Drosophila melanogaster: one gene and its partner. The protein of the gene in region 1 interacts with the protein of each later gene in a pairwise test. Each region holds a gene or a part of one and is shown on either strand. Other genes may lie near its edges.

The links.
Region 2: the proteins of Rrp40 (region 1) and Rrp46 interact in a two-hybrid assay, tested with the Drosophila melanogaster proteins (one large-scale study listed by BioGRID).

Annotation. Positions count from the first base shown.
Region 1 is NT_033779.5:1,725,397-1,732,181, forward strand, and holds Rrp40 (ribosomal RNA processing 40), read left to right. Parts: upstream 1-3,335; 5' UTR 3,336-3,432; coding exon 3,433-4,131; 3' UTR 4,132-4,366; downstream 4,367-6,785. Other genes in the region: Eno (enolase), read right to left, coding at 1-1,259, 2,250-2,437; CG31937 (uncharacterized protein), read left to right, coding at 4,588-5,553; CG17652 (uncharacterized protein), read right to left, coding at 6,007-6,420, 6,484-6,684, 6,748-6,785. UniProt on the Drosophila melanogaster protein: Non-catalytic component of the RNA exosome complex which has 3'->5' exoribonuclease activity and participates in a multitude of cellular RNA processing and degradation events.
Region 2 is NT_033777.3:10,409,753-10,416,671, forward strand, and holds Rrp46 (Rrp46), read left to right. Parts: upstream 1-3,548; 5' UTR 3,549-3,620; coding exon 3,621-3,726; intron 3,727-3,791; coding exon 3,792-4,027; intron 4,028-4,085; coding exon 4,086-4,445; 3' UTR 4,446-4,480; downstream 4,481-6,919. Other genes in the region: Irp-1B (iron regulatory protein 1B), read right to left, coding at 1-619, 688-804, 864-964, 1,027-1,537, 1,600-1,815, 1,877-2,046, 2,868-2,960, 3,057-3,063; CG6345 (uncharacterized protein), read right to left, coding at 4,481-6,232.

The sequences.
Region 1 (6,785 bases):
CCTCGATGCGCAGGATCTGGTTGTACTTGGCCAGACGCTCCGAGCGGCATGGAGCTCCGGTCTTGATCTGGCCGGTGGACAGACCGACGACCAGGTCACCGATGAACGAGTCCTCGGTCTCACCGGAACGGTGGGAGACCATGGTGCCCCAGCCGTTCTTCTTGGCCAGCAGATGGGCGGCAATGGACTCGGTGACGGTGCCGATCTGGTTGACCTTCAGGAGCAGGCAGTTGCAGGCCTTCTTCTCCACGGCGGTGGCAATACGCTTGGGGTTGGTCACGGTCAGATCATCGCCCACGATCTGGATGTCGGTGCAGCCGGTCAGGTTGGACCAGGCCTCCCAGTGGTCCTGGTCAAAGGGATCCTCAATCGAGACGATGGGGAAGTCCTTAATAAACTCCTGGTACAGGTTGGCCAGCTTGTCGGCGGGCAGCCACTGCGACTTGTCGCTCTTCTCGTTCTTGAAGTCCAGATCGTACTGGCCATCCTTGTAGAACTCGGAGGCGGCCACGTCCATGCCGATCTCGATCTTGCCGGTGTATCCGGCCTTGGCGATGGCATCGCTGATCAGGTTCAGAGCCTCCTTGTTGGACTGGATGTTGGGGGCGAAGCCGCCCTCATCGCCCACAGCGGTGGCGTCCAGACCGAACTTGGCCTTGATCACATTCTTCAGGTGGTGGTACACCTCGGAGCCCATCTTCATGGCCTCTGTGAAGCTGGTGGCGCCGGTGGGCAGGATCATGAACTCCTGCATGGCCAGCTTGTTGCCGGCGTGGCTGCCGCCGTTGATCACGTTGAAAGCGGGCACCGGCAGGATGATCTCCTTGTTGCCAGCCAGATCGGCAATGTGTTTGTACAGCGGCACGCCCTTCTTGGCGGCTCCAGCCTTGGCCACGGCCAGGGAAACGCCCAGGATGGCGTTGGCTCCGAACTTGCTCTTGTTCTCGGTGCCGTCCAACTTGATCATGAAGTTGTCAATGGACGCCTGGTCAACCACATCCAGATTGGCCTTGATCAGCTCGGGTCCCAGGGTGTCGTTCACATGGCCCACGGCCTTCAGCACCGACTTGCCATGGTAGTTGGCCTTGTCGTTGTCGCGCAGCTCCAGGGCCTCGTGGACGCCAGTGGAGGCGCCGGAGGGCACGGCGGCTCGGAAGAGTCCCAGCTCGGTGGTCAGGTCGACCTCCACGGTGGGGTTGCCACGGGAGTCGTAGATTTGACGGGCCTTGATCGCTTTGATGGTCATCTCGTTGCTGTCACTGAAATCAAAAAACAAAAAACAAAGTCCACGAGGGCGAATTAGTGTCTGTTATCAGGACTTTAAATCTAGGCATGGTGTTCTATTAAATAGCTGACCGCAGATGAAGCCATTCAGATTTTATGGCGGATGTGCTCCACAATATTTGCGAAATCCCCGCCATTACTTAAATAGTTGGGCTTATTTATATTTAAAATTGTTCCAAATGGACAGTTAAATGATATGTTTCGTGATGCAGTGAAATATTCGGAAATATGTCGAAAAAGAAATACGAACTAGAAAGGAAATGGGAGATACACCTTTGACATACTTTTGGACTTGGTTCTCAAAATATGGTTAGATATTAATAAAAAATTATTTTTTTTTGCAAAGAATTGTAGCTGTGAGCATGTAAGTCACTTGCAATTTGAGCTGTGAGTGGTGTAAACTTATACATATATCCCCATTCGGGTGTGACTTTCTCCACGGTATAATCTCGAAATGCCCCTCCTGAGTTTTCTATATTTAATTTGTCTTCAAATTTCAGTTAAATATTTCTATAATAATTTAGAGTCACTGACACTGGCGGCATTTCCCGCTTTTCCGCTTATCTCAGTGGGAGAGTTTTCAGTTTGCTCTCGCCGAACAACCGAATGACCTCTAAGCTACTTTTAAAGGTCAGACCCAAAGTGAGGCGTCCAGCGAAGCCGCAGTACGTGGAAAAGTTGCGAAAAACGGAAGTATCTCCCTACAGCGATACAACAAATGCCTGTCAATTGAAATTATTAGATTTGTGCAATTAAATCGATTGGAAATATACGTAAACGAGACACTTGAAAATTTGCACAGCACCATTTGTTAGATAATCGCGCGGATATCGCTCGCAAAAAACGCTCGATTTTCAAGCCCTTTCGATTGGGGTGATCTTTGTGAAGTTCGCAGATAAAACAATTAAATATTTTCCCTAAGCTGGATGCACAAGCACACACCAAGAGTCTAGCAATATACATACCAAGTACTTTTGCGGATCTGCACAAATTTAAATCCAGATGAGAGCTGGCTGACTGCTGATTTGCTTCTGAAACGCGGCGCAACGTTTGCCGATTTATTCTGGGGAATTCTGGGGAGAGGCCAGCGCAGACGCAGAAACTTCATGCTAGTGGTGGAAGTCCTCAAGAAAACTGAAGCGGTCCAAGACATGGCTTGAATGTGTAAAAGACGGCGGCGAAAGTGCTACCAATTTGTATCTTGATAAAGGAGTAAAAAATATCATTTAAAATATATATTTTAGTTACCTTACATGAAACTATAGCTCTGTTGCAAGCTATATGATAAATTTAATATTCATAAATTTTAAAAGCTCAGCTTAGGCGATGTATTTTTGCCCATCTCTAAGTGTGGAAAAGAGAGGGACACTTACATTTACTCTCCTTTTATATGTATGCGTTTCCAGGTGCTCGCCGGTTTTCAGTGTGGGGGTGCGCTTTCCCTTTTTTGTTGTTTTCCCTGGTACGTTTCCTATATTTTTTGGGGAAAATTGACCTTCGCACAAGGTTAGAGTAATCGGGATCCACACGTAGCTGTGGATTGCATGTCTATCTACATAATAATAAATGCTCTCGTTAATAAAGCATAAACAATCAAATGGCGTCAAGAGAAGTGTAACAACCAATGATAATGAAATGTTCCCGTGGTTTCTGGACAATCGGGTCATTCAAAGTCACATACTTGTGGTTAGTCACGCTTTTTAGCTGCCATAAATTAGAACAAATAAATGCAAAGCGGATTTTAACAAATCGTACGATTATGCTTATAGCAGCACAGCTGATCGGGAAAAAATTGCATATGTGTTGGTTAACATTGCCGCCCACACGCTGTTAGCTCTTTAAAACTTTCTTTGCATTTTTAAGATCATTCAGTAATATAGAACAATTACAATTTGACTAAATATAATTTTTCTGTTACTTTTTTAAGTTCATCTTAATAATTAAAATCGTAAGCATTTTGAAAATAATAAAATAAGAAGGGGCAAAAATAATTTGAATATTTATGTTCTTTACAACTACTGTTAAATTTAACTTTAAGACCAGGGCTGACAATGGCAGTGTTGGAAAGTCCTCGACTTGACCATATGTTTTGAAAGACACACGCGGATTTTTTGTTTGGAGTTTTCAAATCGTAAAAGCAACATTAAAATGAGCGCGACCAGCACAATAGTTATGCCCGGTGAGCGAATTGCGGCCATTGAGGAGCTGGCCAAGAGCAAGCGGGTGATACTCGGACCGGGACTGCGGCGTCTGGATGACACGGTGGTGGCTAGCAAGGCGGGCCCACTTCGACACAAGGAACCCGGCACCTTCTGGGTGGACAACTACCAGAGAAGGTACATCCCGGCACGCGGGGATCTCATTCTGGGCATTGTGCGAGCCAAGGCGGGCGATCTGTACCGCGTGGACATCGGAGCAACGGACACAGCCTCCATATCGTATCTCGCCTTTGAGGCGGCCAGCAAGAAGAATCGCCCGGATCTGATCCCCGGTGATCTGATTTACGCGAGAGTCCTGAATGCAAGCGCGGACATTGAACCGGAGCTGGTCTGCGTCAACTCGGTGGGCAAAAGTGGCAAACTGGGCGTCCTCACCGATGGATTCTTCTTCAAGTGCAGCCTGAATCTGGGAAGGATGCTGCTGCGGGAAAACTGCCCTGTTCTCGCCGCTCTTACCCGGGAACTGCCCTACGAGATCGCTGTGGGAGTCAACGGCAGGATATGGTTGAAGGCCCATTCCCTGAAAGAAACCGTGGCCCTCGCCAATGCCATTTCAGCGCTGGAGCAATCGGGATGTGCGGAAATCGACAAAATATGTGGCAATCTCGGAGACTTCCTGCAGGCCTAGGATTAGTTCTTAGTTTACTTACTTTTATATAAAAAGAAATGGTTAGCCAAACTGATGGGGTTGAATTTTGATGTGAATGTTGGCGCAAAGGCAGTGTGTTGGAAGCCCTGATTCGTTTACGTAAAAAAACTATCAGAGATGAGCAGATGGAAGCGTTTTTCGTATCTTGGATTATGCTCTACATGTTCTCTCAAGAAAGATAGTACTACCCTTACCTAGCTACCAAAAGGTATTTAAATAATATAGCATCATTCAAAAACCAAGTATAAGGGTTTTATGTCAGATAAGGTGACTACTTTCCGCAGTCACTGCGTCACCTCTGGTGCCCACCAACAGCTGATCGATCAGACCCGCTCGCAGTGATTTCTGTGTGGCCAAGAACAGGTTTCAGTGCCTTCCGTTGCGGCAGAGGACAAAGGTTTCTCCGACCCAGCCGTGCCATACAGAGCCAACGAGATGAGCTTCCTGGAGTTTCTGCTGCTCCTGCTCGTGCTGTACTATGTCGTGTACGTGCTCCTCTGGATCCTGCTCGACTGCAATGTGGCCCTGTGGTACAAGTCCCGTTTCGGAGTCTCGCTGTCGTCGATGCGCGGACAGGTGGTTTGGATAACTGGTGCCTCGAGCGGAATTGGCCGCGCTTTGGCGCTCAGCTTGGCCAGGCATGGAGTGAAATTGGTGCTAAGTGCCCGGCGACTGGAGCAATTGGAGCAAGTGCAAGAGGAATGCCTAGCTGCAGCTCGCGGACTGCTGGCCACCAAGGACGTGCTGGTCATTCAAATGGACATGCTCGATCTCGACGAGCATAAGACGCATCTCAACACGGTGCTCAATCACTTTCATCGACTGGATGTCCTTGTCAATAATGCTGGCCGATCCCAGCGAGCCAGTTGGACCGAAGTCGAGATCGAGGTGGACCGGGAGCTGTTCGAACTGGATGTCTTTGCGGTGGTCCACCTCAGCCGCCTGGTGGTGCGCTATTTCGTGGAGCAGAACGGCGGTAGAGGACACATCGCTGCCACCTCCAGCATCGCCGGCTTCAGTCCAGTGCCATTTTCACCCACCTACTGTGCCGCCAAGCACGCCCTTAACGCCTACTTGCTCTCCCTGAAAGTGGAGATGCGCAAGCTGGATGTGTCGCTCTTCGCACCGGGACCCATAGCCACCGATTTCCTGCAGGAGGCCTTCACTGGCTCGCAGGGCGGAAAGGTGGGTCTGAGTACGGCCAATCAGAAACGGATGACGGCCCAGAGATGTGGCGATCTGTTCGCCGTTGCCTTGGCCAATAAGATGGATCTCACCTGGTGCGGCCTCTTTCCCGTCAACCTCTTGGCCTACTGCGCCCGGAATCCCACGCTGAGCAAGATTCTGGCTCAATTGATGACCGAGAAGACGCTGAACAAGATTCGCGAGGGCAAACTGTGAGAACAACCCCGGTGTGCCTCGCCCCTTCCCTATTCCTGCTCCAAACGGCTCTCAGTCATCTTTTATACTGTTGTATAATTCTTAACTATATACTAAAATATATAAATATGTGCACAAGATTAAGTTGAGTGTGCGTTTCAATCGCGATAATCTTCACAGGCACAGTGGGATTCTACAGTTCCTCCCATTCAATTGGTGAGCAATATTGTGGTAAGCTAATAATCAATTAAGATTTATGAATTCTAAAATATTCTAGTTAACTTAAGTCATTAACCAGTAATTTAGTAATCTATCATCTGGTTCAGATGCATAGATTTTTTTGCCATTATAGAAGAGGGCATATTACACTCAGGTGGCTAGTTAAAGCAGCTCCTCCCACATTATAATGATTTGTCAAGACTGCAGATTACCTTGCATTATCTTATATTTATCTACTTGATCAACCATTCTAATCTAATCTTTTCCTAGCGCTGCCTTGACGTGCGCTGGGATCTTGACTCGTTTTCGTTTCGCCTTGGTTATTGCGGTCTGCTCAACTCCTTTGAGCTGTTGCTTCGCCTTGTCCTTTTTGCTCTTCTTGCAGGACAATGGATTGGGGTTCTTGGGCCCTTTGTGCTTCTTGGGTTTGACTGCAGTTTCAGCTGGCTTCAGTCCCTGCTTCTCCTTCATGTAGTCGATTTTCTCGACCTGTTTGCCCAGCATTAGGTTTTTGGCCCGTCGTTGCACCCACTTCTTGGAGGCTTTAGATGGTGCTTCCAAGACGGGAGTGGCTTTGTGCAGATAGAGCAGACAACGTCCGGGAATCTTGCGAAGACTCTCCTGCAGCAGACGATCTTGCGAGGCAACCACATAGCGATTGTCTTTGGTCTGAAAGGCAAGTAATCATTTTATGGCTATAGCATACTTGAAATCAAGTAACTCTCAATTTACCATCGATTTGATGCATTCGGAAGCGGGGACTGGTTTTCCTTCGTGTCCGCATTTGTGGACATGGAATCGCTTGACGATGGATGTGGCTCCAGTGAGAGGAGCACCCAGGGATTCCGACTCCAGAATAACACACTGGGTGGTCAGTAGCTTAACGCCGCACTGGAAGTACTTTTTAATCTGCTCATCTATGCCAATCTTTTGCTAAAAGTAAAAATTAACTATGGATATCAACAAGTGCTAGAGATGATATAAGCAATAACCCACCTGAAGGGCTGCTTGGCAAAAGGTGGCATCAATTAGCA
Region 2 (6,919 bases), on another chromosome or scaffold:
TGTTCTCCACTTCCTGTATCTCCGATCGCGTTGGCCAGATGTCCTGCAAGAACACATTCTTGCCATTGGCATCCACTCCCAGAGGTTCCTTCTCGAAGTCGATGTCCACGCGTCCTGCGATGGCATATGCGATCACCAACAGAGGACTGGCCAGATAGTTGGCCCTGGTGTTGGGATGGATGCGACCCTCGAAGTTTCGGTTTCCGGACAAAACTCCAGCACACACGAGGCCGTTCTTCTCGATGGTGTTCACCACATTCTCCTCGAGAGGACCGGAGTTACCAATGCAGGTCATGCATCCATAGCCCACAATATCGAAGCCCAACTTCTCCAGATAGGGAATGACTCCGGACTCTTTCAGGTAGTAGGTAACCACACCGGATCCAGGCGACAGCGAGGTCTTGATATAGGGCAGGATGCTCAGACCCTTCTCAACGGCCTTTTTGGCCAGCAGACCGGCACCCAGCATCACCGAAGGATTCGATGTGTTCGTGCAGGATGTGATGGCCGCAATGACAACAGATCCATGATGCAGTTTGTAGGTCTTGCCATCATCCCACTGGAACTCCCCAAAAGCGGATTGAGCTTCCGGAGCAATGGCGAATCCCTTGAAACCCACCTAAGGTAATGGTGGAGCAAAACAATGTTTAATTTAATTCCCTTTTTCTCAATGAATTTGAAACTTACTGGGCTGGACAGGCACGACTTAAAATCCTCAGGCATGTCGGAGACAGAAACGCGATCGTGAGGACGCTTGGGTCCCGAAACGGAGGTGACCACCGTCGACAGATCCAAGGTGATACTCTGTAGAAGGGATGTATGTTAGCTTAAGTTTTTAGTGGTATATGTAAGGCAATTTCAACCTGAGTAAACTTGGGATCTTGGGCCGCATCAGCATAGTTGCGCAGCTGCTGAGTTGCCTTCAGATACTGGCGAATGATGTCGATCTTCTTTTCAGACCGATCTAAAAAGTTTGTTATGATATAGGTAAAATATTGTTTTATGAAACAGTCTGGTTTTCCGTACTTGTCTGCTTCATGTAACCAAGAGTATTCTCATCGATGGGGAAGTATCCCACGGTGGCTCCGTATTCGGGACACATATTGCTGATGGTGGCCCTGTCAGCAATGCTGAGTTCCGCAACTCCCGGGCCGTAAAACTCCACAAACTTTCCCACCACACCCAACTGGCGCAGGTGCTTGGTAATGGTCAGCACCAGATCGGTGGATGTGACCAGTGGGCTCAGTTTGCCCTCCAACTTGTAGCCAATTACCTCGGGCAACAACATGGAAATCGATTGGCCCAACATCACAGCTTCCGCTTCGATGCCTCCCACTCCCCAACCAAGTACGCCCAATCCATTTATCATCGTGGTATGGGAATCAGTGCCCACCACACTGTCGGGATACAGAATCTTGGAGCCATCGGTTGCGTCATTCTCGAACACCACGCGGGCCAAGTACTCCAGATTCACCTGGTGGACAATACCGGAGCCAGGTGGCACGATCAGCATGTTGTTGAAGGCCTTGGCTCCCCACTAATTAGGAAAAACAATATTATTAAAAATACTATCTGGATAATAAGCTAAGGAAAAGTAACCTTCAGGAAGGTGAAGCGCTCCTTGTTGCGCTCAAATTCCAGTGACTGGTTCTTGGCCAAAGCATCAGGCGCACGGGCGAAGTCCACCTGGACCGAGTGATCGATGACCAAGTCGGCGGGGCAGATGGGATTGATTTTCTCCGGGTCGCCGCCCAGATCCAAAACAGCATCGCGCATAGCTGCAAAGTCCACCACAGCAGGAACTCCAGTAAAGTCCTAGTAGCAAGATATTATATAATTTAAATATTACTTTGCTAGATTGCCGTATGAAACTCACCTGCAGGATGACACGGGCCGGCTTGAAGGACACCTCCACATCGTTGGATCCCTGCTTGAGGGCGGGCGACCATCCCAGGATGCTCTGCACGTCCTTCTCTAGGATATGGAAGTTGTCGCAGTTGCGAACCGCCGACTCCAAGAGCACTCGGATCGAGTAGGGCAGTTGATCTACGCGTTGGAAATGTTAAGTGTTAATCAAAGTGTTTAGAATTTCATCACAGGTACAGTAAAGCCTCTTGGTGAGAGGACCTAAGACAATTTGCCGCACTAAACGTATGTATCTTTAAAAAACCTTTAAGTTGCACTTGTTGAATTAAAATTCACGAGTAGAGTAAAGAACCTCCCTTTTTCTATAACCGTCCACCTTAGTTAGTTTAAAGTGTGCTAGTCAGATAGCAGTCACTTCTTATCACAGGCACAATGATTACGTTTGTCCAGCACTTAATGCGATTCACAGGCGTCACTATATGGGAGGAGCCACCAAAGAAGCCCTCACCTCAGAACCCCGATTTCTGGACACGCGCGGTTCCAGTAAAAACATTCCACTGATCTTGAGATTTTTCGGAGTCATCGGACTACGACCCCAAATCAGCAGATCTGCGAAGTTTTAATTCGCTGATAAGTGAGCACGTAAAATTGGGAAATGGAAATCAAATTTCGGAGGCACACGATTCGTTATCACCGCTAGACGAGCCCCATTATGAGGCAATCTGGCGGTGATAACTTTCGCTTTCGGCGCAAGACAAGCCCGCCCATAGAAAACTATAGAAAATCCACTTAATGCTCCGGGAGCACCTTCTACTTGACATTGCCTGACTTGCAAATTGAGCTGTTCTTCTACGCTTCTTTTTCAATTCAGGGGTCAAACTCCAACTTCAACAGGTGCTTAATTAATCCCATTTTTGATATGCATGTTTAGCCTAGTTTATTGCGACCACGTAGACAGACACGCCCACTTTTAAAGCCTTCTTAAGACCACATCCACTTACCATATTTACTATCGATGGAGGCGAGGTCAAAGTACTTGTATGTTGTGCCGGCCTGGGAGAAAGTTTTCTCGAACTGGGCGAAGGGATTGGCGCCTGCGACGATACGAATGTGTTATATAAGCCACAGGATTCGGGGGACAGGGTATATGGTAGTCGAGGGAACTGCAAAGCTCCGGACTGGCAACCCACCTGACATCTTATTGGAACTCTTTACTGAACTTATTCCGGACGAGCAAAGCAAGAAACTGATTGGAGAAGCAGTTCGGATAGGAGCTGGCCAGCCTTCGCTGTCTATCGATAGCCAGCGATAGTTGCGTATATCGCCAGTCGGATCGACAGTGCATTTTATACATTATATATGGTGCATTATATTTTATAAAACGATAGCTTTATGTTCACTTCTCTTTTTCTAAAATGAGATTATAGTGTTCTGCGCTTGGTATGTTATTATCATATGTATTAAATGCAGTAATAACTATTCGGATATTTATGTAATACACCATCTTTTGAAAAGCCTGAAATTTGTGCAATTATCAGTAAACTAAATCGACGAAAATAATTGAAAGTTGTATAACATATGGTTCATTTTTAAAATGAAAACTCCACCCGCCAAACCTATCAGTAATCGACAGAGCTCGTGCAATCGCAACATCATATTGCACCGATATGTCGAGGGAAAATTGAAATCGTTATCGAAAATACGAGGCGATAGCACGCGCACGTTGTTTTCTTTGAATATTAGGAAAATATAATATGAATTTACCAGCGAAAATGGACGTGGAAAAGGATAAGCTTCGCCAGATGCACTGCGAATTCAATCCCTTGTCGCGTTGCGACGGATCCGTGATGTACAGCCAGGGTATAGCCGTGTTTTCAACTCTAGTACATGGCCAGAACCGGCTAACATGGTCTTGCCAATTTCAGGTGCTACAGGTCTCATAGGCGCAGTTCTCGGCCCCATCGAGGTGAAGACCCAAAACCTGAGCATAGATGGCAGCTACTTGGAGTGTAACTACCGACCAAAAGCGGGCCTGCCGCAGGTTACCGATCGGATTCGGGAGGCGGCCATTCGGGATGTGCTGGAACTGGCCCTCCTGTCGGAGGCTCATCCGCGCTCCAAGATGTCCGTGCAGATCCAGGAGCTGGAAGATCGTGGCAGTGTATGTTTTTGAATCTCCTTCATCTGTAATCCTTCTAACAATATATATATTCTATCAGATTGATGCCTGCGCCGTAAATTGCGCCTGCCTAGCCATGCTCATCGGAGGCCTGCCTTTAAAGTATAGCTTTGCGGCTGTCCACGCCATCATCAACGAGCAGGGCGAGTATGTGCTAGATCCGGACCAAAGTGAAACCCTCCACCAGCGCGCCAGTTTTACATTCGCCTTTGATTCTGTAGAAGGAAACCTTTTGTTGATCCAGACAAAGGGCTCTTTCAAAATAGCCCAGTTCAATGATATTGAGTGCCTATGCCTGGCTGCCAGTGCCGAGATCTTTCAGTTCTATCGCAACCAGGTTGCAAAGTATCATGGCAGGAGTGAGGCGACGGCTAAGAAGGAGGACGTCAATGAGACGTGATGTTAAAACAACTGAAACTACGATTAAAGCTCATTTTATTGTATTAACTGTCTGCTGTGAAAGTCGGTTATGTTGCTCAGCTCGAGGGGCGTGCCCTTCAGCACCTGTGAGTTGGATTCCTCAATGCGGACGGCCAAAAAGTCACCTACTCCAAACGATTTTCTGGCTGTGGAATCTCCAGATATGGGTACATATATAGAAGGAACTATGACCTTGATATTGGCATCATTCCGACCGAACCAGTGAGCATCGGACCTCTTGCTTTTCCCTTCTATAAGTATGAGCTGCTCCTGGCCTTCCATTTTACGATGTAGCTGTGTAGCTCCCTCTCGGAAAACCTGGACCATGCGCTGCAGTCGCTCATTCTTCACGTTTATGGGCACATCATCTTTGTAGCGCCGATGGGCAGTGGTCTTTTCTCGCATGCTGTAGGCGAACAAGTAGGCCACGTTGTACTGCACTTGTTGGATAAGAGATACAGTGTCTTGGAACTCCTCTTCCGTTTCACCGCAAAAGCCGCAGATAAAATCGCTGGACAGCCCCACGTTGGGCAAAAACTGTCTGATGTGCTGCACAAGTTCCAGATAAGCCTCTCTGCTGTAACCACGTCGCATCCTTTCCAGAACTTGGGTATTGCCCGATTGTGCTGGCAGGTGAAGTTGCTTGCACACATTCGGGTGATCTCTGATGACCTCCAGAACTTCGTCGGAGAAATCCTTCGGATGCGGCGAGGTGAAACGGATGCGCATGTCTGGAACAGCTTGAGCCACGGATCGGAGCAATGCTGCAAAGGGAGTCCCGCCTGTTTTGGGCTTGTAAACAGTGCTAAAACCGGGCACTGGAGTTGCTTTCAGTGAGTCCTGTTCCTCCTGCGCAGTTCTGTCTCTGTACGAGTTGACATTCTGACCCAGCAGGGTGACCTCCTTCACGCCCTGTTCCGCCAATGCCTTGACCTCAGCCACAATGGATGCCAGGGGGCGAGAGCGCTCGCGTCCACGGGTGAAGGGCACTATACAATAGGTACACATGTTGTCACAACCGCGCATGATGGACACAAAAGCAGTGGGCGATTCGGAGTTTAAGCGAACGGGCATCACATCCGCATAGGTTTCGTCCAGCGAGAGGAGCACATTGATGGCCGAGTTGCCATAATGCCGGGAGATAGCCAGTAGTCGCGGCAAATCCTTGTAGCTATCGGGTCCGGCGATTACATCCACACATTGCTCCTGTTCCAGCAGCTTCTCCTTTAGTCGCTCCGCCATGCAACCCAGCAGTGTCAGCTGTAGAGGATGCCTCCGCGTACTGCGTTTGTTCTTCATGGCTCGCAGGTGCTTCAATCGGTTCCTGATCCTCTGCTCCGCTCCATCGCGCACTGCGCACGTTACGAGCATTATGACATCGGCCTCCTCCGGCTCCTGGCATCTCAAATAACCATTCTCCTTCAGGATACTGAACACCACCTCCGTGTCATTCGTGTTCATCTGGCATCCGTAGACCTCAAAGTGGACCTTCCTTCCGTTTCCATTGAAATCAATCGAGTTCAGGTACGGCACACTGGTGTCCACATGCTCCTCTTCATCAGTTTTCAGTCTTGACGCAGGCTTGACCGCAAAAAAGTCTTGGAAGCCCGGTCCGCGTTGAATCCTCTCCAGAAAAGTTGCACGTGCTGCCGGCTCTGATTTTAGTTGACCCGCTGCGCTGGAGGTAACGGATGTCGTAGCTCCTTTCGAGGCAGTCGTGGAGGCATGCCGCACTTGGCGAACAAATGCCCGGTAGCTTATTTTCATGGCAGTTATTTATTTATGTAATTTTTATGTTTCTGTTCAAAGAAGTGGTATTTTATTAATGGTATTACAAGTGGTATTTTTCAGGGCTGGAAAGCGTTGTTTACCTGAAACAGCTGGGAGGATGATTTTTATTCGCCATCTAGTGGACAGTAGCAAGACCTTGTAGTTTAAAAACTAGCCGCTTGTTGTTTTTAAAAAACGTGACAGTTTTAAATTGTTCCGCTAAATTTTAATTGATGAATTTCGCTTTTTATTTATTAAAACTAATAAATATGGAGTTAATTGAGCGGGTAAAAATGAAAATATTCTACCTTTAATGGAATTTAAGTAGTTTTTGGGCTCAAACTGCATCTCATTCATTGAAAACTATCTCTTTTGCTATGGTAAACATTTTGCGATTCTCAGAAAACAAGGCATAATTACTTTTGGCTTAAAGACTCTTCATGCCAGTTAGGGAATGCACTTGGCTTCCTTCCGTAGTTAAACACTCAAGCGGGTTTGTCCAGCCGCACATTTGAGGACAGGTTGGCCAAAGTCGGCTCAGCCGTAAGAAATTAGCTCGGCCTCATTATGAGCTTATCGTGGTCGGGTTAATAATGCACAGGTGAAGACAATGCAATTGCATGGCCAACAAATGCCACGCCTTCGTCTGCTCCTGATTCCGATTCCATGTCTGTGCCTACAATT